2 linked regions of the Macaca mulatta genome follow. The protein of the gene in region 2 purifies or fractionates together with the protein of the main gene of each other region. This does not show direct contact. Links are inferred from orthologs where the notes say so. Each region holds a gene or a part of one and is shown on either strand. Other genes may lie near its edges. The genes, in order: DNAJB11 and PTPRO.

Region 1 (11,616 bases), on a different chromosome or scaffold from region 2:
TTCTTACTCTATATCATTTTACTAATGTCTTACCTCCTTAAGTATTATCATGCTTGTTTTAAGCTCTTGGTCTGTCTAATCTTTTTTTAGGCAAAGTACAATTGCTTAAAATATATGTGTTATTCAGTTTGTTGTCTTTTGTGGGGCAGATGATTGACCTTCTCAGGTATCTAGCTGTCTTGGCCTTTGAGCTGATATTCCCTTATGGATACCAGCAACTACCTTTCCCTGTAGAGCATCGTGGGCTGAGCCCTGGCCCACTGGTTTTAACTGTGTTTTGTTTGGTTTCTTGGGGTGTTTTTTGTTTTGTTTGCTGTCTGGAGTCTTTTTGTTCTCTGCAGTCAGGGGAAACAGTTCAAAACAGCCCTCTATCTGTGGGATTTTCTCTGGGAGTATATGAAGTATATGTATATGTGTATATCTATATATATACACACACACACATATATATACATGTTTAAGTTTGTAATGTCCTGAGTTTGAAATGCAGAGAAAGTAATAAGTGAAAATACTCTATGAAGGTTATTTAAGGTCAATTTCATTGCTTGAAATAATTCTTGAAGTTTTAAGTTTCAGTGAATTACATACACAATCATGACTAATGCTTCCTCTCTGTATAATATTAAAGAATGTAACAACAAAATAAGCTTCCATCCTTTTCGAAATTTGTCTTCAACATGCAAAAATTCTCTTTTATTTAGAGCAATCTGATATATATGCACATATATACTTGTGAAAATTAAATGGCTTTAAAATCTTCCTTTGATATTTATAAACTCCTACTTAGACAAGAGGCTGAAGGAGAGAGTTATTTCAAAACCATACTCACGGTGGCCCAGAAAAAGAGAGGTTCAAAGTAGATGGGGCTTGTTGACTTAAAAGAAAGGCATATTCACACAGTTTTGGCTTAGGGCCCAAATGAAGTGTTAGGAGTCATGGCAAAAAATGTATTAACATTTAAGATATCCTTGAAAGGATAAATAGAAATTGAATATACAAGAGAGTGAACATTCTTAAAAGCGAAGGCCAATGGGTTATTCCAGAAGTGACCACAGTACTTGATTAAAGCCACTATGATAGAAAAAGGGAGAGGAAAGAATGTTTTCACAAATATCTTTAGAAAATAGGTATTTTGGGGAAGCAGAAATGGGCACAGCTGACTTAAAAAAAAAAAAAACCCTTATTATTATCTGGATCTCCAATATTTTCACTTTTAGTCTACTTCTCTGATCTGATCTTGGAAAAGAAATGAACCCTGCATTTGAGACTATAAAAGACACCATTTCAAAACCCCCAAAGACTAGTTTTAAGTCAGTTTCTTTTTAGACATCAGAGGCTTCTGTAATAACCCCCTAAAAACTACTCATGAAGTCATTTATTATCATTCACTTCCTCCTCACTTTTCTTCCACCAAGGAATGCAATTTTATTCCATGGTCTTGGAAACTATTTTAAAAGAAAAAAGGTTTTTAGTTGATTGGCCAACCAATACACAGATTCTCAAGTAATTAAAATGCCAGCAGTAATCTTAGCTCTGTAGAGAAAACAAATTTGTATTCACAAAAGATTCTTCCTAACTGTACTCGGATTCTAATTTGCGAACACTAATTTACCTAAGACTAAAGGCAATCAAGCTTGAATGATAAAAAGAAAAAAGAAATTTAAACTAGTGGCTAAAAGGGTTGTTATAGTTAAATAAGCCATAATTTCATGATTGGCCTTTGTATAGTCTGCCTAGGTGATGGATAAAGAACATGAAGATTCTTTAGAGAGCATGGTAAATTCAGCTTCCCTAGAAAATGTTTTTGAGTATTGGGTTCCTAGCAAACAAGGGGAATATTCATGGAAAATACAGTACAAAATATGGAATCCATATTATCAACAAGAAACAAAATATTACATATAATTTAGGACAGGCCATCAGACTTCTGAAGTTTATTTATGTGCCTCCGGTTAAGAATTTCTGTCCCTTGGCCAGGCACGGTGGTTCATGCCTATAATACCAGCACTCTGGGAGGCTGAGGCAGTCGGATCAGGAGGTCAGGAGATCGAGACCATCCTGGCTAACACGGTGAAACCCTGTCTCTACTAAAAATACAAAAAATTAGCCAGGTGTGGTGGTGCATGCCTGTAGTCCCAGCTACTCGGGAGGCTGAGGCAGGAGAATGGCATAAATCCCAGGAGGCAGAGCTTGCAGTGAACGGAGATTGTGCCACTGCAGTCCAGCCTGGCAGACAGAGCGAGACTATGTCTTAAAAAAAAAAAAAAAAAAAAAAAGAGAGAATTTCTGTCCCATAGAATCCCTGAAGGTATTGAAAGAAAAAGGACCCCAACAACTCTTGGGTTCACCTGGGTATAACTCACTGTTTCAGTTCCATTGTTTCTTTTTTTTTTTTTTTTTTTTTTTGGAGACAGAGTCTCGCTCTGTTGCCCAGGCTGGAGTGCAGTGGCCGGATCTCAGCTCACTGCAAGCTCTGCCTCCCGGGTTTACGCCATTCTCCTGCCTCAGCCTCCCGAGTAGCTGGGACTGCAGGCGCCCGCCACCTCGCCCGGCTAGTTTTTTTGTATTTTTTAGTAGAGACGGGGTTTCACGGGGTTAGCCAGGATGGTCTCGATCTCCTGACCTCGTGATCCGCCCGTCTCGGCCTCCCAAAGTGCTGGGATTACAGGCTTGAGCCACCGCACCCGGCCTCCATTGTTTCTTTAATCTAAGAGATCTTGGGATTCCTTCCTTTCAAGGTTTATGTCTTCCTAAAATACTTTTCAATTTGTTTTTAGCCTTCTCAATATATAAGAATTTAAACTTAAATTCGGGAGTTTTAGCTCTATGACTTTTAGTTCAACTAATTTTTTTCTGTGTCCATTTAGAAAATGAGAATAAAAATATGCCTAGCTCTAATGTATTTCCTGGTGTCCTAGTGAAGGTTAAATGAGATGATACAAATGGAGAGTGTTTTGGTCCCCAGATTAGAGGTTGGAAAATCAAATTAAAACTGTGCTTTGTTTGATCTACGTAAAAAAGAAATTTAACTGAATTAGTTACCAACATTTTTACAAGCAGAACTTATATAAAAGTCTAGATTTTCAACTTTTCTGGAAAAATTAAATCATCTAGGAACATACTGTTTGCATTACTATGACAAAAACTGGCTAGGGTTGAGGTAACAGCTGCTCCCTTGAAATGGGGCCAGAAGGCTTCAATTTGTCAAAGCCCTCAACAATCCTTATTGCTTCCCAACATGGAGGCAGAATATCTGCTGTCATGTTTTAATTTATACCTGCCCTGCATGTTATTTGTCTAGTTCATATGAACATGTAGGTTTGCAACTCTCATGAAGGCTTTCTTTTTATTTTTGGTCTAGCTCCCGAACTGACTGACTGACAGACCAATCAATTGATCTACTTATTAATCTACCAATCTTTCATTTATTCTTTTGCAGCATTATTCTCCTTCTTAAAATAAATATTAATATCAAAAGGCAGAAAATGGTATCTACTAACATGAATGTAATATCTAGTACAATACAGTATCAAGTACTACTTTTACTTTCATCTACCATCTACTTTTAAATAAAAGTGACCTGGGCTGGGCGTGGTAGCTCACACCTGTAATCCCAACACTTTGAGAGGCCGAGGCGGGCGGGTCACTTGAGGTCAGGAGTTCGAGACCAGCCTGGCCAACATGGTGAAACCCTGTCTCTACTAAAAATACAAAAATTAACCAGGCGTGGTGACATGCACTTGTAATCCCAGCTACTCGGGAGGCTGAGGTGGGAGAAGTGCTTGAACCGTGGAGGCGGAGGTTGCAGTGAGCAGAGATTGCACCACTGCACTCCAGCCTAGGCAATAAAGTGAGACTCAGTCTCTAAATAAATATATGTGAGCTGAAAAGAGTATTTCTCTGTATTGTATATTTTTTCTAGAGCTACAGATCTTATTTGTTCTTTATCACTTTTCCTGACTCACCTCATAAGCAGCACCCAGATCCTGGAATTTCTCCTGGGCTTGTGGATCATCAGGGTTCCGGTCGGGATGAAGCTGTAGGGCTAGTTTCCTATAGGCCTTTTTAATATCCTTTATAGAGGCACTTCGAGGCACCCCCAAGATCTTATAGAAGTCTCGTCTGGGAAGTAGAGGGAGAGAATACTTCATCAGAGTTACATGTTACATTTTTAAAAGTAAAAGATTTATTTTTCCTCTACATTTAGGTTTGTATCTGAGCAAAGAGGTACGAAAGTGAACGTTTATGTGACACATATACACACAAAGAATGACTAAAAAGAGAACACCAGAATTTGTAATGAATCTTATATATTGAAGTAATTACAGTAAGAAGCTACATACTTCTTTTTAGATTATTCAAAACATCTGTGGCATCTTCTTTCAGAACCACCTTCAGTCAAGAAAACCACTTCCTTATTTTATGGTCTCATGTTATCTTTAGGCAATAACCATATAATCAAATTAACTCTTCCCCCCTTTCTCTACATTTGCTCCAAATGATTTTGACTTTTCTAAAAGTCAAATAACACTCTCAAGGGATGATTTTCCTTATTTAAAAAGATTATGCCACATAAATGTCCTAACAGTAGCATTGCCAGAATGTTAAAGACGAAGCAACTTAAGACAATAAATAGCTCAAGAAGCTGGGAAGCACAAGGGCTCTCCAAAGGGTCTTCTTGTTCCCCTCCCCATCCAATTTCCTTCAGTCCCAACTCGGCCTGGCATCATCCACCCACTTTAATGTCAGCCCCCCAATGGCTCTTCGCAGGCTTGGCATAGAGCATCGTCCGCTTCTCCAGCTCAGCGGGGCACAGCAACCCACCTCTTTGATCAAACAAACGTCCATCCCCCCAACCTCAGCCTAGCACTGTCACTACCTTTCCTTACAGTCAGGCATCCCTCTTTCTTCCCCCAGCTCTACGTGACAGTGCTCCAGCTCACAACCACCTTCTTTCCCTCATCCCCCAAATGCCGTTGGCAATGCATCCACCTCCCACTCCTCCGGGCAAATCTAGCTCTACCAAAGACCTTCTCTGGACCTAACGCCTTCTCACTGGTGTCACCTACGGTTCGCTTCTCACCCCACTAGTCTGGCCCATACTACCCCTTCCTCCGCCACCCCGCCAACCCACAGCGATGCCCCTCTCCACTCCCTCAGTCTGCAATACCACTTCCCCCACCCCCTCCCACCCCCTAGCAAAGGCTGACCCCCGGGCCCCGCTGTCTGCGAGTGTCTATTCCTCACCCGGCAATCACGGCCCCGATGAGGTACAGTAGCAACAGGCAAAAGGTGCTCAGGTTCTGCGGAGCCATGGTTCCTCTGTCCCGGGTCTTGTCCCACACACTCCTCACAGCCTCCTCCGCCGCCGCGTCGGCTCGCCAGCCCACCCAGCGCTGTGAGGCGCCTCACACCGGTGGGCGGGGGGGTCTCCTCCTTGGTCCGCAGAGACAGCTAGCTAGCCCCCTCCTTTTCCAGTCCACTTCCCGGGAGTCCCAAGTCCCGGTGAGAGAAGACCCCGGTAAGCGAGAGCCAATCGTTGCCCGGGACATCACACGCGGCCGGCGCCTGAAAGCCAATCAGCGCAGTACACTTCACCTCCGAGGCGGCACGCGTAGCCAGTTAGGCTTCAGAACTGCAGTCGCAGATCTTGACCAATTAGAAGAGGAGACGTCAGAGGGTCGCGCCGCTGCAGGAACCCGCTCTGCCCGAGCTACCCCGAGTCGTAGAAAATTACGTAATGGTAGGGGGCTGGTCCGAGTAAGGGCACCTGAGGTACACGAAATCCTCCTCGACTCACCCACTTCCTCGAACTTTCCACCAATCAGGAGGCTCCTCCCCAGCACCAACCAATTGTGGGAGAGAAGTTTTCTCTGTGTTTCAAGTTTGGAATTTCATTCATACCCAGCTACGCGCCGAATGCGGGAGCAGAATGAGGGAACAGCGGCAGAATGAGCGGGGACGGTTATTCCTCAACTGTACATCGGACGCATTGCTTAGGACTCTTATTTTACGTTCTCCAAGCAACTCCATAAGTCTCGGAAAGGCGACAGTGATGATTGACCGACTTAAGTGCGGATTCGGCTTGCACCGCTTCTCAGTGGTGAGACTCCTTACTCCTTCCCTCCTCCTAAGTCTGAGCCTAAGTTTCTTTATCAACAAAACTAAGGCAAAGCACTTATTGGCAGTTCTGTGAATTTTAACAGGGAAAAAAAATCTGTAAATCGCCTGGCGTATAGTAAGCAGGCAATGAATAAAAACCATTATTACTGTTCGAGCATAAGTCTTTGATTCCCCGTCTTCCCCCCCGATTTTGCTCATCACAGTTACACAACACCTAGTTGATCAGGACAAAGCTCTAGGTGTTTTTACTCCTTTCATATATAAGCTATCCAAATCTTTACCTCTGAACTATACTTGAATCTGTTCACTACATCTCCATTACTAGGTCTCTGGATCACAGTGTATCTCTCACCTGGCCAGGGCCTCCTAACTGGCCTCCTTGTCTCCACTCTTAATATCTTCCTTAATACCTTCATATATGTTGCTCATCCCTGTCCCTCACTCCTTTTTTTTTTTTTTTTTTTTTTTAAGGGCCGGGCGCGGTGGCTCACGCCTGTAATCCCAGCACTTTGGGAGGCCGAGATGGGCGGATCACCTGAGGTCAGGAGCTTGAGACCAGCCTGGCCAACATGGTGAAACCCCGTCTCTACTAAAACTACAAAAATTAGCAGGGTGTGGTGGCGAGCGCCTGTAATCCCAGCTACTCGGGAGGCTGAGGCAGGAGAATTGCTTGAACCTGGGAGGTGGAGGTTGCAATGACCTGAGTTCCTGCCACTGCACTCCATCCTGGGCGACAGAGTGAGACTCCATTTCAAAAAAAAATAAATACATAAAAAATAAAAGTCAAATCATGTCACTCCCCTGTTTAAAAGCCTGGAATGGCTCTTCATTTGCACTTAGAATAAAATCCCAGCTCTATGCTAGTTTACAAAGCCGTTTATGCTTTGTCCTCTCACCTATTATGCTCCTAACCATGTTCCAGCAAAACTTGCTTCCTTTCTTTTTTGTATACACCAAGCACATTCCTGCCGAAGGCCTTTGTGTTAGCTGTTCCCTTTGCCTGAAACGCTGTACTCTCCCTCATGTCTTACCATGGGTGATTCCTTCTTTAACTCATGTATCAGCTTAAAGGTCACCACCTCAGAGAAGACTTCCCTGACCAATCAATCAAAATTAGCCCCTACTGAGCTCTTACTCTTACACCACCCTGTTTTCTTTTTTCTTTTTTTTTTTCTTCCTGAGACAGAGTCTTGCTCTGTTGCCCAGGCTGGAGTGCAGTGGCGCAATCTCGGCTCACTGTAACCTCCGCCTCCCGGGTTCAAGCGATTCTCCTGCCTCAGCCTTCCGAGTAGCTGGGACTCCAGACGCACACCACCGTGTACGTCTAATTTTTTTGCATATTTAGTAGAGACTGGGTTTAACCATGTTGGCCAGGCTGGTCTTGAACTCCTGACCTCAAGTGATCCAACTGCCTCAGCCTCCCAAATTGCTGGGATTATAGGCATGAGCCACCGCGCCCGGCCTCCTATTTTATTTTCTCATCCCTGGTCCCTAGACTGCACACACTGTAATGCCAGTTTCATGAGAGCATGAATCTATATTGTTCTGTTCACAGCTGTATAAGACAGCACCTTAGAACAGTGCCTGGCATGGAGTAGGTGCTGAAGTATTTTTGAGTAAAAGTTACTTGGATGGTGATCATTGCATGGCTGGCTTCTTATTCTTCAGGCCTCGGCTCAAATTTGGCACTACAACGTGGCCTTCCCTGACCCCCCTCCCCCAATTTTCATAGCATTTACCGCTATCTGAAATTATCTCATTTTACTCCTTAATATGTATTGTCTATTCTCCCTGTTACACACTCCAAGAAAGCAAGGACCTTGTCTATTTTGTTCACTCCTGTCATTCTAGTATCTACCACTGTGCCAGACACACAGTGGTACTCAACAAATAACAGCAAGGTCACTGAGCTAGTAAGTGGCGCAGCCTGGATCCTAACCCAGGTCTGTGTAAATTTGAAGCCCCTGCTTTCAGGAAGATACCCAGTAGGGACAATGGAGGAACTAAAAAACAAAAGAGGAACTAAATTGCATTTTATGGTCTAAATTACCTTTGTATATTTAGGTGTGTACCTAAGTAGGCCATAAACGAACTAAAAAAAGAAGGAAACTTTCAGAAATCCTGAAATGGAAGTTTAAAGAAAGGAGTGATGGCTTCTGCCCGGCAATCTGAAAAAGCTTCATGAAAGTGGAACACGGAGGAAAAGCTAACAGAGATAAGGAGTTGACACTGAGGGGCTGTAGGGAGTGCCAGTCTCGCTTCAGACGCCCTGGGTTTGAATCTTGGCTCCATCTCTTGTGTGACTTTAGGGTTCTGTTACTTTCACCTTTCTACGCCCTAGTTTCTTCATCAGTAAAACTAATGTACTTAAAGGGCTCTTGAGAACACTGAGGAAATATAAAGTTGCTTTACACAGTGCTGAGACCATAGTAAGCGCTCTATAAATGCAAACTGCCATTAGTAGTATTTCTGATGAAAGCGTGCTGATCTTACCAGCAGCTATTGGCTGACCACAGTTATGTGGAGCAACAGAAAGCTTCCTACTCCCCCTGGGTTGAAAGGTGCAACACCAGAAAGTGGTGTGTCTGGCTCCTGGTGCCACCGTCGCGGACTCTCGGTCCCAGCCCGGATTTTCTCAGGCGCTTAAACCTCAATCTGCCGCTCTAGCAATGGGGTCCGCCAGTTCTCAGTGGTGCGGGGCCTCGCGCTTGCGCAGTGGGCACGGCGGCGGCGGCGCGCGGGAGGGGCGGGCCCAGCGAGCGGACGCGGGTTGCGGCGGCGCGCGGAGAAGTGCGGCGGAGCGGCGCCTGCCTTAGCAGGTAATCGCGCACGGGCTGGCGCCGGGGAGGGAGGTGTGGGTCAGTCAGGCTGCAGGCTTGGGCCGAGGAGGCTGCCTTCGCGCTCGCCGCGTCTCGGGTCAGCTACCGACTCTGTCAGTGTGGGTGTCTGTGTTCCTGAAGTCTCGTCGCGACGCTGGGGCGGCCCACGCAGAGTCCCACCCGGGATCAAGTCCAGGGTGGCAGCGAAGCCCCAGTACAACTGCCTTAGACCCACACCGATCTTCCGACCTGAAAATCCTTAACCCCAGCGCACCGCCAGGGTCAGAACCCATGTTTGTGTTTGTTTACGGGTTGAGCCCTCTCGACTCTCGGAGTTAGAATGGAGGGCTCATTCCTGGGATCTGGCTGTTGACAGGGGCTCAGTACCTCACAGAGCAGCCTCTTTACGTTTTGGAGAGAACCGAGGTCTTCCTCGCCTAACTTTTATCGTCTGGTTTTACTCAAAACGACGCCAGTCTCTCCACATTGGAAGACAGCTGCCTTTTGCCCTTCCACGCCCATCTTTTGAGTTTACACTCTCTGATTCTTTCACCTGGCGTCCTGTCTAAGGCTCTTTATTCTGGAAATTCTCTTCTGGATCCACTCCCGTTTTTAAGAGATTCTCCCAAAACTGGATTCCTAGAGTACATTTGTAGTAATGCAGTTCTCAAGTCGACCCGAATCCTAATCCAGGGCTGTGCCAGCTAAGTAGGTGTCCTTACGGAAATCTCTTAATTTCGCTAAGCCTCATTTTTTTCATCGAAAATGTGTACAGTCTTAAGTACTGTATCTCCAGGTAGTTGTGAGGGTGAAAGGGGGTGAAGTATGCAAAATGATTAGCATGCTACCTGGTACATAGTAAGCACTTGATTGATGTCAGTTATTTTTCTAAACAGATGATTCTCGAGAGAAGCAGTTGGCGGGCCGGGTGCGGTGGCTCACGCCTGTAATCCCAGCATTTTGGGAGGCCAAGGCAGGCGGATCACCTGAGGTCAGGGAGTTCAAGACCAGCCTGGCCAACATGGTGAAACCCTTTCTCTATTTAAAAAAATGCAAAAATTAGCCTGGTGTGGTGGCAGGAGCCTGTAATCCCAGCTACTTGGGAGGCTGAGGCAGGAGAATCGTTTGAACCTGGGAGGTGGAGGTTGCAATGAGGCGAGACCAGCTATTGCACTCTAGCCTGGGCAACAGAGCAAGACTCCATCTCAAAAAAAAAAAAAAAAAAAGAGAGAGAGAAGCACAGTTTTCTTAGAATCAAATGCAAAATATAATAATAACAATAAATTTTTTATCACTCATATAATTCATTTTTTAAATGATTTTTTAGATTTTTAAAAAATGATGTTGCTAATGTTGAGGAGTGCACAGTGAAGTGGCTACCATAGTCAAAGGATGGTACAATTTAATAAAATCATTTGGAAGCAACGAGAATATATTTCACAAGCTTTAGAAATGTCAATTACTCCATTTCACAAAAGTACATCTGAAAATTTTCTCAAGGAAATAATTTGTAATGCAGAAAATATGAAGAAAGATGGTTGTGATAGCATTATTTACACTGGTGACAACATTTGAACTTTAGTAATGAAATTTTTTAACATACACAAAAATAGAATCAATGAGCCCCCCATGTGCCCATCGCCCCACTTCAGTAATGATCAGTATTTTGCCTATGTTGTTTTTGTGAAAAATCTGAAACCTAGTAAAGTGTCTAAAAATGGGAGAACAGTTGAACAAAATGGGATACATTTGTTTAGAATACTGTAAAGCTTTTGAAATAGTACAGAATTGTATATGTAACATCACAACTGTGAAAATTCAAAAACTAACATCTAATTTATGTGTAGAAAAAAGACAAGAGGCTGGGCATGGTGGCTCACTCCTGTAATCCTAGTACTTGGGGAAGCTGAGGTGAGGGATCACTTGAGGTCAGGAATTTGAGACCAGCCTGGCCAACACGGTGAAAACCCATCTCTACTAAAAGTACAAAAATTAGCCAGGCGTGGTGGTGGGCACCTGTAGTCCCAGCTACTGGGGAGGCTGAGGCAGGAGAATCGCTTGAATCTGGGAGGTGGAGGTTGCAGTGAGCTGAGATCATGCCACTGCACTCTAGCCTGAGCAACAGAGGGAAATGCCATCTCAAAAAAAAAAAAAAAAAAAAGAAAAAGAGAAGAAGGAAATACAATAAAATATTAATTAGTTGCCCTTTACTTGGGGGATTGTGGATGATTCCCTGTTTTTGTATTTTATAAGCATTCCATAAAAATCATGTATCATTGTTACAACAAAATCTAAAAGTATCACACCTGAACTGAGCAGGGTAGAATATGCCAGAGTGGGTTCACTGTTACAGAGAATAAAGATGCTGTAACTCCTGATCTATTCTTGCAGTCTGTGTTTACATTAGCATTCTTGCCTGCTGCCTCACGTTAGCACTTCATATTGAGTTTATATGGTCAGCTAACATGTCCAGATCTTTAACCAACTGTCTTCTGTGTAAATGATTTAACTTTGTGAAATATATTTCCCTGATTTTGACCAGTGTTCCCGCTCAGAGTAGAAGAAGGTTTCCTGTGATAGGATGACTTTTTTCCCCTCATTCCTTTTCTTCCTGGGATCTCACTCAGACTTCATGCATCTACACACACTTCCTGAAACAAGGAGTTCTAACAAT
Region 2 (11,117 bases):
ACTGTTAATAGACAGATTTCAGCAAGAAAAAAGGTGAATCCAGAAGGAAAGTCCAGGACACAATTTTAAAAAATGACAATGGGAATATGGTATATGACAAAGATTGTGTTACAAATTAGCAGGAGCAGATGGAAAAAGAACCCCAAAACAGGCAAAAGAATTTAACAATTCTAAGAAAAGGAAAGCTGATTGACCAAAAAACATAAGAAAAAATAATTAATCTCCATGAGCAGGAAATTAAAACAAAGAGACAAAATTTCACACACCTCAGAGTGGCAAAAATTAAGAAGACTGGTATCAGCAAATGTTGGAAAATAATACGGAGAAAGAGGAACTATCATACACTGCTAATAGATATGTAAATTGCCCTAATCTAGTTAGAAAACTTTCTAAGAATATCTGATACAGATGATGTGTAGACCCTACTATCCAGGATTTGCCACCTAAAGAGACATGCTGCAAACATTTATTGCAGCATTATTTGTAAGAGTGAATAATTGAAAGCAATTACTGTACTAAAATAATAACAGGTATATATTGTGTGGGTTGTATAGTTGCAAAATGGACACTAAAATAAAATTTTTAGGTGTTCTTGTATCAAGAGTGATAAATCTTAAAACAATGTTAGACAATAAAAACAAGCTGCAGGATAGTTATGATAATTTACATAATAATTTAAAACATGAAACAATGTTGGATACTTACAAATACATGTTTAAAAAACATGCATGAGAAGATAAATACCAGATTCAGAATAATAATTTACTTCTGGTCATGGTGGGAAAAGAATGGGGTTTGGGTAAGTTACATGGGGGAATTTCAACTACATTTTCTAAGACTTTATTTAATTGAAAAATTAAAACATCTGTGGACAAGAAAGTAATGAACAAAGATATTAAATGATTCACCTTGTCCAACAACTCCATTTCTCTGTCCAGTCCAGGCTGGTCCTAAGAAAGGGAAGTACAATGGAGTGACTGACAAGGTGAGGACTATTGACTTAGATTAGGATTTAACTTTGTCATCACTGAAATGCCTGTTAGTAAGTATAGCACTGGTTTATACCACACCACTTAATTTCTAAAAAGAAAGATAATGAGAGAAGTCACTGGCGAGATAGTAAAATATTTTTATACTATACATTTGAGTTCTTCTAAAAACAGTAGTTCTTGGATTGAATACTCCTCAGTAATACTTAGACATCAACAGGATTTACAGCTGACCTGGGTCATTTACACTGAAGCTGAGGGAAACAGATAAAACAAACATATAAACAGGCATTTTAAGACATTTTCTTAGTTTAAAGTTTAAGTAGCTTGTTGCAGGAAAAAAAAAATCGGAAAATAAAATATCTGTTCTCTAATCCTCCTGTCTGTCTTGAATTTCAAAGTTTGACCGTGGCTTTGATGTGTAGACTTCATGCCTCAGGTCATGAAAGATTAAGTGCCCTTCTAACTTCTCTTTTCAGTAGAAGAAACCCTGATGAGGATGTGAAACAGGACTGCAACAGTGGAGGAGTTACTGCTCTGTGGCTGCTTTTTCTGTTTCCTTTCATTTTAGTTCTCTTAGGGCCAGAGTCAATAGCCGGATCTGGTAGACTCCATGGGTTAGTAAATTAGGCTGGGTCGAAAGAAAGAACTTGAAGCAATTCAAAACTTCTTTGGGAGTTTTGAACTCAAAACAGAGTCTTCGAGGGTTGGTTGATTGGTTGGTTGGTTGCTTGGTTGGTTGACATGGTACATAAGTGAGTACGTGAGTTCATTCTGAAATGTTACCTGCATGTAGGAAGACTAGGGATGAGACAAAGATAAAATTCATACCTTTTAACCAGAGACTATAGCACATAGGGTACAGTGACATGATCATAAAATACACTGGAGTCTGAAGGTCTTCCTAACTTTTTTGTAGATGTTGGCTTCGTTTTTCAGAAAATTCCAGGAAAAATCAAAGCATTAACATGTAGCTTCAATTATTTCTGGGTTTCTTAAAGTCAATAGCAAAGATAGAGTAATACCCTGAGCAACAAAATAAAACATATCCCGCTACAGATTGAGACATACTAGATACTCAATAGTTATTTATTGAATGAACTAAGTCAAATTTGGAGTTCTCATGTTATTGAAATTGAAATTTTTTGAATGTAAATTTAAACTAAGGATATTTCTTTAGGTCAGGCTATAGATGATGTCCAAGAATCCTCTCAATTCTGAAACTGTGAATCAAAAAATTTTTTTCTGTCAATCTAAAATTGTCAAAAGGGTCAGCATCTCATTTAAAGAGAGTTTTTTCAAGCACAAAGTGTGAGGCTAGACCACCTGGAAACACCAACTCCAAAAGCATTCAGTCAGTGCTCTGAAGTAGTGCAACTGGGATCTCATTTCTTATAGGCAGAGACAGAGAAGTTTTTATCAGGATTACAAAAAAGTATTCATACAAAGTTGACACCTGGTTAACAGAAATTTCATTGGTTGTAAGCAGTGTTTCTTTTGGGGAAGGGGACATTTAACATTTTTTTTACACAGAGTGTGATAGTGATTTATAGGTTTTCTGTCATCCAGCCTAAGCAAAGTGGGACAACAAAGAGGGGAAGTTAATCTACAACAAGGGTCATTAATTAAGAAGGCAGGAGATTTTTGTCCCTGACGTTATTTAATTCCCTCTAGTCATTGTACAGAAAAAGAAAAATAAAGTGAGTTAATCTGTAATTCGAGAACAGAAGTTATAACTATATGTGACTCAGATCACAGTTATATCTTTTGCATGCTTAAAGTGATTTTTGGGGTTCCAACAGCTTTTAAATTTTATTTATCTTCATTTTTTTTTTTTTTGAGATTTCACTCTTGTTGCCCAAGCTGGAGTGGAATGGCACTATCTCTGCTCACTGCAACCTCTGCCTCCCACGTTCAACTGATTCTCCTGCCTCAGCCTCCCAAGTAGCTGGGATTATAGGCGCGTGTCCCCACGCTCAGCTAATTTTGTATTTTTAGTAGAGACGGGGTTTCTCTGTTTGGTCAGGCTGGTCTCAAACTCCCAACCTCAGGTGATCTGCCCGCCTTGGCCTCCCAAAATGCTGGAATTACAGGTGACCCCAAACGAAATTATTTAACATATCTTACTAATAAAATTCATACAAGTAAAATCTGTTTAATAGCTTCTTCAGAAAGGTGCAAAATGCATTATTTACAAGAAATTTGCAGGACAGTGGGAGTGGGAAGAAATGCAGACATATATTGATAATGGATTTTTTAAAATGAGTATTTTTAAAGTTTTCCAGTGAATGAATAACTCAAGCAAAATAGAAATGTTTTCTTTAAACTTCTATAGAAAAAGTAGTTTGAGAAACACCACAACATATATTTTTTACAACATTGGACAGTTTAAAATTTTATACTTCATATGGAAAAATAAGTGCTATGCTCACACGAAGAAATAAATGATCATATAACTATCATCGATCTGAGCCAAAATTTATTTTCTGTTACTGGTCTGTTACTAATATCAAATTTCCTTCGCATGAGAAAAAGAAAAATAAACTGGGAATCTGAAGATACAGACTGTCATGTACTTGTTAAATTACCTTGAACAAGTAATTTAGTCTGTGAGCCATCATTATATTTATCAGTGGGAAGGATATATTAATATTTGCTCTTCCTAGATATCAGGACTGTTGCAAAAGGAAAAATAAATGTAAAAGTTCTTCAAAAAGCAGAAAGCATTATATAAAATGTACTATATTAATTACTGCTAAGAACATTCAATTCATGGGTACTGAGGAGTATAGTGCCCACAGACAGTGAAAATATGTGTGAATTTCTGGTAGGTGTAATCCTTGGTTCGTTCAAGTATTGATACCAGTCTTTCTCTCTCCTCTTTCTTTTCCCTTTCTCCATTTACTTCACTTCTGTAGAACCTCTACCTGTAACCAGTGTTTCCATATATGACTATAAACCTTCTCCTGAAACAGGAGTCCTGTTTGAAATTCATTACCCAGAAAAATATAACGTTTTCACAAGAGTGAACATTAGCTACTGGGAAGGTAAAGACTTCCGGACAATGCTATATAAAGGTAAGCAGCAAAAGGAAGGCTGAATCAATGATGACCCTCAATTTTTAGCAGCTTTTCCCAAATGATGTTCTTTCTTACTACAACGAGGTTTTATAATTCACTATTTGACCTATAAATGAGCCATTAAAAATAATTATTGACTTATGAAAATCATGCTATGAGGAAACCTAGAACATCTGGTTCATTTCTTGAGAGTCAGGTGTCATGTGTACAGCATGAGAAATACTCAAATTATTATCACTTACATGCTACTCTTCCCTAAGGCAGCATGCCTGGTGCAGGAAATAAATTCAGACTTAAGTTTAGAAGCACAAGTAACCATTTCCTTCTGGGTATGGTAGATGGGCATTTCCGAGACTGGGAAGCCAGAGCGGTGCCTTTTGCAAAGTTTCACTTGGGTATGATCCAGCATCCTCAAATGCGATGCTGTATGACTAGCTAAATGAACACATTAACATACAAAAATTAGTTTTGCTTTTTTACTCACTTGATGGGAACCTTGTGGGGAAGGGAGAGAAAAGAGCCCAGGAGAAGCAATACTTCAATTAGTCAAAGGAACAAAATCAACTTCTCTGGGTAGAAGGGGCTAGAGGGAGAGGGAAGAGAGGGCATTCAGTTTCATTTGGGAGTGAATCCTAGTGAAGGAACTTGAATACTCTCAGGACATACCGGGTGGGGGTGGGAGGTAGGTAATGCTACCAGAGTTGGCTAACTGTAACTGGAAACATGTATTGGTGGGAAGAGAAAGAGTATTGAAGCACACAGAGCATGACATCCAGAAAAATGTCACTTTGACTTGCTTCTTTTACACACTCATTTCTTCCATGGATTTATTTTTTCCGAGACATTATTTAAAATATAAGCAGTGGGGCTGGGAGTGGTGGCTCACGTCTGTAATTCCAGCACTTTGGGAGGCCGAGGTGGGCAGATCACTTGAGTTCAGGAGTTCGAGACTAGCCTGGCCAACATGGTGAAACACTGTCTCTACTAAAACATACCAAAAAAACTAGCCAGGCGTTGTGACGGGCACCTGTAATCCCAGATACTCAGGGGCTGAGACAGAAGAATCGCTTGAACCCGGGAGGCAGAGGTTGCCGTGAGCCGAGATCACACCACTGCACTCCAGCCTGGGCGACAGAGCAAGGCTCCATCTCAAAATGAATGAATGAATGAATGAATGAATAAATGAAATATACGCAGTGAATTTAGTTTTTTTAAACTTTGAAAAAATCAAAGAAACATAAATTCCACAAATTATTATGTTGTTTATTTACAATGAAAACAAATAATCTGCAAATTAATAAATGGAAAGTTGTTTATAGATCATATGCAAATATATTTATGAATGATTAAAAAGCAATTACTGAAACTTTTGTTAATCATAAATTTTAAAATAATATAATCCCATTCTTAAGTCAATTACGTCTTATTACTTCTTCAAACTATTTTTAGATTTCAATTCAATAAGTGGTATTTTTAGTTTTTTCTCTCATTTCTTTTGAGTCGGATTGGATTTTTAGTTTATTGTTATTCTCTTTAAAGTTTTCTAAGTGGAGTCCAAACTTCTATTATTTCTTTTTTTGGGCAGGTTCTGTCTTCAAACTGGCAAATAAACCAGTTTTAAATTAGGCTAGTTTTTCTAAATGAAAACTTTTCTTGTAAAATTGCTTTTTTTCAGGTCATAAGATGGCAAAATACCTTGGATTTTTATTTTAAAGTAAATGGCCAGTGTAAACTTAACGTCTACAATTTCTTTATATTATCTCCTTCAATTAATACATACCCCAAAAGTTCCTATCATAAAAAGTTAACTCCAACTGTGTTCGATTTCCTTAGGAATTTTGTCAGAAAAAGTCCTTCAGGATTGAGTCTAAACATTCAACGTTTTGTCTCTAGCCTTCTACTAACTCTTTATTATTGACCATAACAGTAGTTGAAGGAAATATTATGTTGTGAATGTTTAACCATAATTGTTTCAAACTTTCCAGAAGTGTGTGACATTTAGAAGACCATATTTTTCATGTAATTGATTTTCTCTTCACAGATTTCTTTAAGGGAAAAACAGTATTTAATCACTGGCTGCCAGGAATGTGTTATAGTAATATCACCTTTCAGCTGGTATCTGAGGCAACTTTTAATAAAAGTACCCTTGTTGAGTACAGTGGTGTCAGTCATGAACCCAAACAGCACAGAACTGGTAAGTCTCCTGAAGAATCAAATACAGTGAAAAAATAATTCAGTTATATTTTGCTGTATATTTATTTTTTATCCTAAGAAATATTCTGATCCAGAGCAAAGAAAGAAAATGCATATGTTTAATAACCTAAAACAGATTTTATATCAATGTAAAAAGAACTGGGCAAAACATTCAATAAGAAAAATCTAAAATATGTCAATGCAATCATAGATTTGTAATCTTTGAATAAAAACTACTATATTATTACCAAAGGTTATAATTAAGTAAAACTTACCCAGATCTAGTAGACATCAGTTATTACTGACAAGTAGCCCTATGGCAGAAAAAACTAGAAGACATTCTAGTACAGTTTATCAGATTATTAAAGGAAAATATTGAAATTCAAATGTATCTCAAACTTGAAGTGCTTAATTTTAGTAACACCACTAATATAAAGCACTATTGTAGGATGGATGGATAGATGCATGGATGGATGGATGGATGGATGGATGGATGGATGGATGGATGGATGTACGGATGGAAGAATGAATGGGTAAAATAAGCATATATCTACTAAGTACCCATCACCAATATAAGCAACATCGTATGGGCCCAATGTGCCTGCATATTCAATAGGAAAGCTGGAGAGGCCATTCTGATGAGCATCAGGAAAGGATTATGATAGATTACTTCTAAGGTCTTGACAATTTGAAATTCTAAGATATCATGATTCTTATTCATTAGTCCAAGACCAGGAAACTATTTCAGCTAAATCACTAATTCACCGATGTCAACATTTAAGATTCTATTTATGTTTTTCATTATTCAATGTAAGTAGAAAAACATTAATTGAGCACCTTCTACCTGGAATTTGTTCTAAGTACTGAGACATGAAGACAAACACTGATGAGACGGGATCCTTGTCCTCAAAAAAATGGTACTCGTAATACACAAGTGGCACTAATACAAGGCAGAATGAGATAAATATTATAAAAGAGGTACAAAGTTATTTAACAGCACGAAGGAGAGAGAAATTTTTATTAGAAGTTCATGGGGCCTAGCACGGTGGCTCATGCCTGTAATCTCAGCACTTTCGGAGGCTGAGGCGGGTGGATCACCCGAGGTCAGGAGTTTGACGCCAGCCTAGCCAACATGATGAAACCCCGTCTCTACTAAAAATACAAATATTAGCCAGGCTTGGTGTCTGGTGCCTGTAATCCCAGCTACTCGGGAGCCTGAGGCAGGGGAACCGCTTGAACCCAGGAGGCGGAGGTTGCAGTGAGCCGAGACCGCGCGCCATTGCACTCCAGCCTGGGTGACAGAGCGAGACTCCGCCTCAAAAAAAAAAAAATTAAAAAAAAATTCATGGAAGAGGTGATAATTGAACTGCTATTTGAAGGCCAAGTAGAAACTGTTATAGGCAGAGACTATGCAGTGTGTCTTTGTAGTTTTCTCCCTGTAAGTGTGCTTCCATAATTTATGAACTCATTTTGTGCTTATATGTTTCATTTTAGAGAGGTGAGGAGTGAAGCCATATTTCTAACATGTGTGTTAACATCTCTAAAGGCAGCACACGCATGCAACTCTCCTAGGTGCAACTATGTCACATGGAGTATTTTCATCTTCATAGCTATAAGTACACTATACTTGTTTTTTCTTTGTAATAAAAATCCAGGAACACAGATACATTTTTTTGTAAGTGAGATTATGATAAACTGAAAAATATTTACATACTCTGCTTTTAGAAGTGGTTAAATTACCACTTCAACAAGCATAATATTGCAAGTTAATATATTTGAAGTGTGACTAGTGGTATGTTAACAGGTACACATCATCCACAAAATGTTAGAAGTATATATATGGAGAAAAACGCAGTTTGTCTTGACGTAAATTTGTCTGTGTATTAGAAGTAAAATTAAATTCCATTTTTAAAAATCTGCTTTTGTCCCTGACTCATTAAGAGATTAAGTATTCACTCTAATTGAATTAAAAATTACTTGAAAATGAAAATTCTCTCTCTTACAGCCCCTTATCCACCTCAGAATATTTCCGTTCGTATCGTAAACTTGAACAAAAACAACTGGGAAGAACAGAGTGGTAATTTCCCAGAGGAATCCTTCATGAGATCACAAGATACAATAGGAAAAGAAAAACTCTTCCATTTTACAGAAGAAACCCCTGAAATTCCCTCGGGCAACACTTCTTCCGGTTGGCCTGATTTTAATAGCAGTGACTATGAAACTACGTCTCAGCCATATTGGTGGGACAGTGCATCTGCAACTCCTGAAAGTGAAGATGAATTTGTCAGCGTACTTCCCATGGAATACGAAAATAACAGTACACTCAGTGAGACAGAGAAGTCAACATCAGGCTCTTTCTCCTTTTCCCCTGTGCAAATGATATTGACCTGGTTACCACCCAAACCACCCACTGCTTTTGATGGCTTCCATATCCATATTGAACGAGAAGGTAAAGCAGTAGGAAATCAGAGGAAATAAGAACTGATACAAAGGAAGGGGAATTGAACTGTTTTTAAATTTGAGTTTAGAAACACTGATCATAGACACTCAAATCTCCAGAGAATAATGGTAAAGAAAGGGAAGAATGTAATTGGGTATCCAATGCAGACAGAGCAGAAAATCCAAATGAATAGACTGGGTAAGAATCAGAAGGTTTGGGTGATTCACAAGTTGTGAGTACTGCCAACTGTATATATTTTACTGCCTGATATTTCTCATGTCTCAGAACAATTAGGAAAACATCATATTTGGAAATATTTTGAATCAAAGATCTAACTATCCCAGAACATTACAGCATATCCTAGAGAAATTTCCTGTTTTCTCATATGCAAATTTTTAAACATGGCAGCAAAGTAATACTTATGAACACATTACTACTTTCCTCAAGAATATGAGGCTTGTGTCCTGCTAACCAGCTACTCTTGTTCCCTTTAGGGTATGTCCCTCTGGAACAAGCACCATAGTTTTCCAAAGAGAAGCTGATAGTAACATGGAAAATACACAGCTACTGACATTTCCATATAGCTACTATATTACATTTTGCATTGACTAACTCAGCATCTGAGATTCATTCTTTATAGCCCACTAACTTAGGAAAGTAGAGCCATGACTTTCAACAAGTTTGGGTCATGATACCTATCTCAATTGTTGTTTGGTAGATTTTTATGGTTATTTGTTGTTTGTTTAGTTTTTACAATAATATACTTCATTTTCCATTTTCTGGTCTAGTAGTTTGAGTGGCAGAGGTTATAATTTGTAAAAATTTGAAGTTACGATGATAGCCTTATTTTTAGGGTGAGAGTTTAAGGCCCATGTAGTCTCATATACTGACATATTGTTTACTCCTATTTTACTTAATAGCATGAGATACAACAAAAATCTGTGGATTCTTCTATACAAGATGATGCAGCATTCAACCATAACCAAATAACACATAAAATGAAAATTCTTAATTATTTGAGTCAAAAGTCATTTTCTTGGAATTGCCTACATTTTTTTAAAGTTTCCCTAATCGTCTTTTATTTTTCTGTTCCTAAATATGTTCCTATGGCAAATAGGATCTTGTCATTACAAAATTTTTTTACTGCCTCTTCTCATGAAGGTTCTATTATGCATTTATCTGACTACAGTGTCTTCTTTTGAAGGCTGTTGTAGTCACCAACTGATGATAATGACTTCAAATGAAGTAATAAGCAGCAGAGGATGGATGGACTGTGATGCAATGTGAAATAATTCTTTAAGAAGATTTGAAAGCAAATGGATGAAGGAAAAATATTACCATGATTATTATTTTTAAATTTTACTTTAAATTCTGGGGTACATCAGAAAATATATCTTAAAAAATGAGATGTATTTTAAATAAATGTTAAAGCACTTCTGAATGGTTAATACTACCACAAAGAACTTACAAGATATTTGATGCTGGTTATTTTTTAGCCCTTACCTCGTGATGAGGAAGCCAATAATTGTTATCTTTTCCTGACTATCTACTTCTGTTTTGTAAACATAATTTTGTTGGGTAGGAGTACATAAAGATACACAGTGTAGACCCATCCCTAGTTTTATTGATTCGAATGCCATATTTGAGTTTTGTTATTTGGAAGGTTGTAAAAATATTGAACTCTTACTTATATTCTTTAATAGTACCTTTAGTTTAGAGGTGTAACTGAACTTGACAAAAGGAGGGAACATTTAAAATACCTAATTATTTTTTTTCATTAATTGACTTGTCTATACCCAGGGCCTTTCCAGGCGTCAATTCATATATCTTCTCTTTTTTTTATATGATTTAGAGAACTTTACTGAATATTTGACGGTGGATGAAGAAGCACATGAATTTGTTGCAGAACTGAAGGAACCTGGGAAATATAAGTTATCTGTGACAACCTTTAGTTCCTCAGGATCTTGTGAAACTCGAAAAAGTCAGTCAGCAAAATCACTCAGCTTTTATATCAGTAAGTAACAAAGAGATCACTTTACACTTACTGGGGAGCTAGAACAATGGAACTGGTGAGATTATTGATGCTCAGATGTCAACTATTCACAAACCTTAGAGATGCGGAGAAGTCTTCAAGATCAGGAGAGGCTGAGATCCACAAGCTTTGGACAGCAGAGGAAATATATGCATATTTAATAGTAGCAATCCTATCCACGGGTTTAACTTGAGGATTCTTTTCACTATTGTGATAATTGAACATTTATTAAACTGACCTTCCACATTAGCCATAACAAACCCTCCAAGGATGTGGACATACAGTTTGGGAAATACGACATTTGCTTGAGGCCATAAGGAAATGACATTATAGGACTATGAAAAATCTCATTAGAGTATTGAGCTTGCGAAGCTCAAAAGAAA

Evidence for each region.
Region 1: the proteins of PTPRO (region 2) and DNAJB11 purify together in Homo sapiens (affinity purification with mass spectrometry; 3 studies listed by BioGRID and IntAct, with this or other methods). This does not show direct contact. The link is inferred for Macaca mulatta from reciprocal best matches to the Homo sapiens genes PTPRO and DNAJB11.

The regions. Positions count from the first base shown.
Region 1 is NC_133407.1:98,737,314-98,748,929, reverse strand, and holds the start of DNAJB11 (dnaJ homolog subfamily B member 11), read right to left. Parts: upstream 5,524-11,616; 5' UTR 5,316-5,523; coding exon 5,248-5,315; intron 4,123-5,247; coding exon 3,966-4,122; intron 1-3,965. UniProt on the Homo sapiens protein: As a co-chaperone for HSPA5 it is required for proper folding, trafficking or degradation of proteins.
Region 2 is NC_133416.1:17,946,771-17,957,887, forward strand, and holds part of PTPRO (receptor-type tyrosine-protein phosphatase O), read left to right. Parts: intron 1-3,907; coding exon 3,908-4,066; intron 4,067-6,110; coding exon 6,111-6,263; intron 6,264-8,267; coding exon 8,268-8,711; intron 8,712-10,554; coding exon 10,555-10,716; intron 10,717-11,117.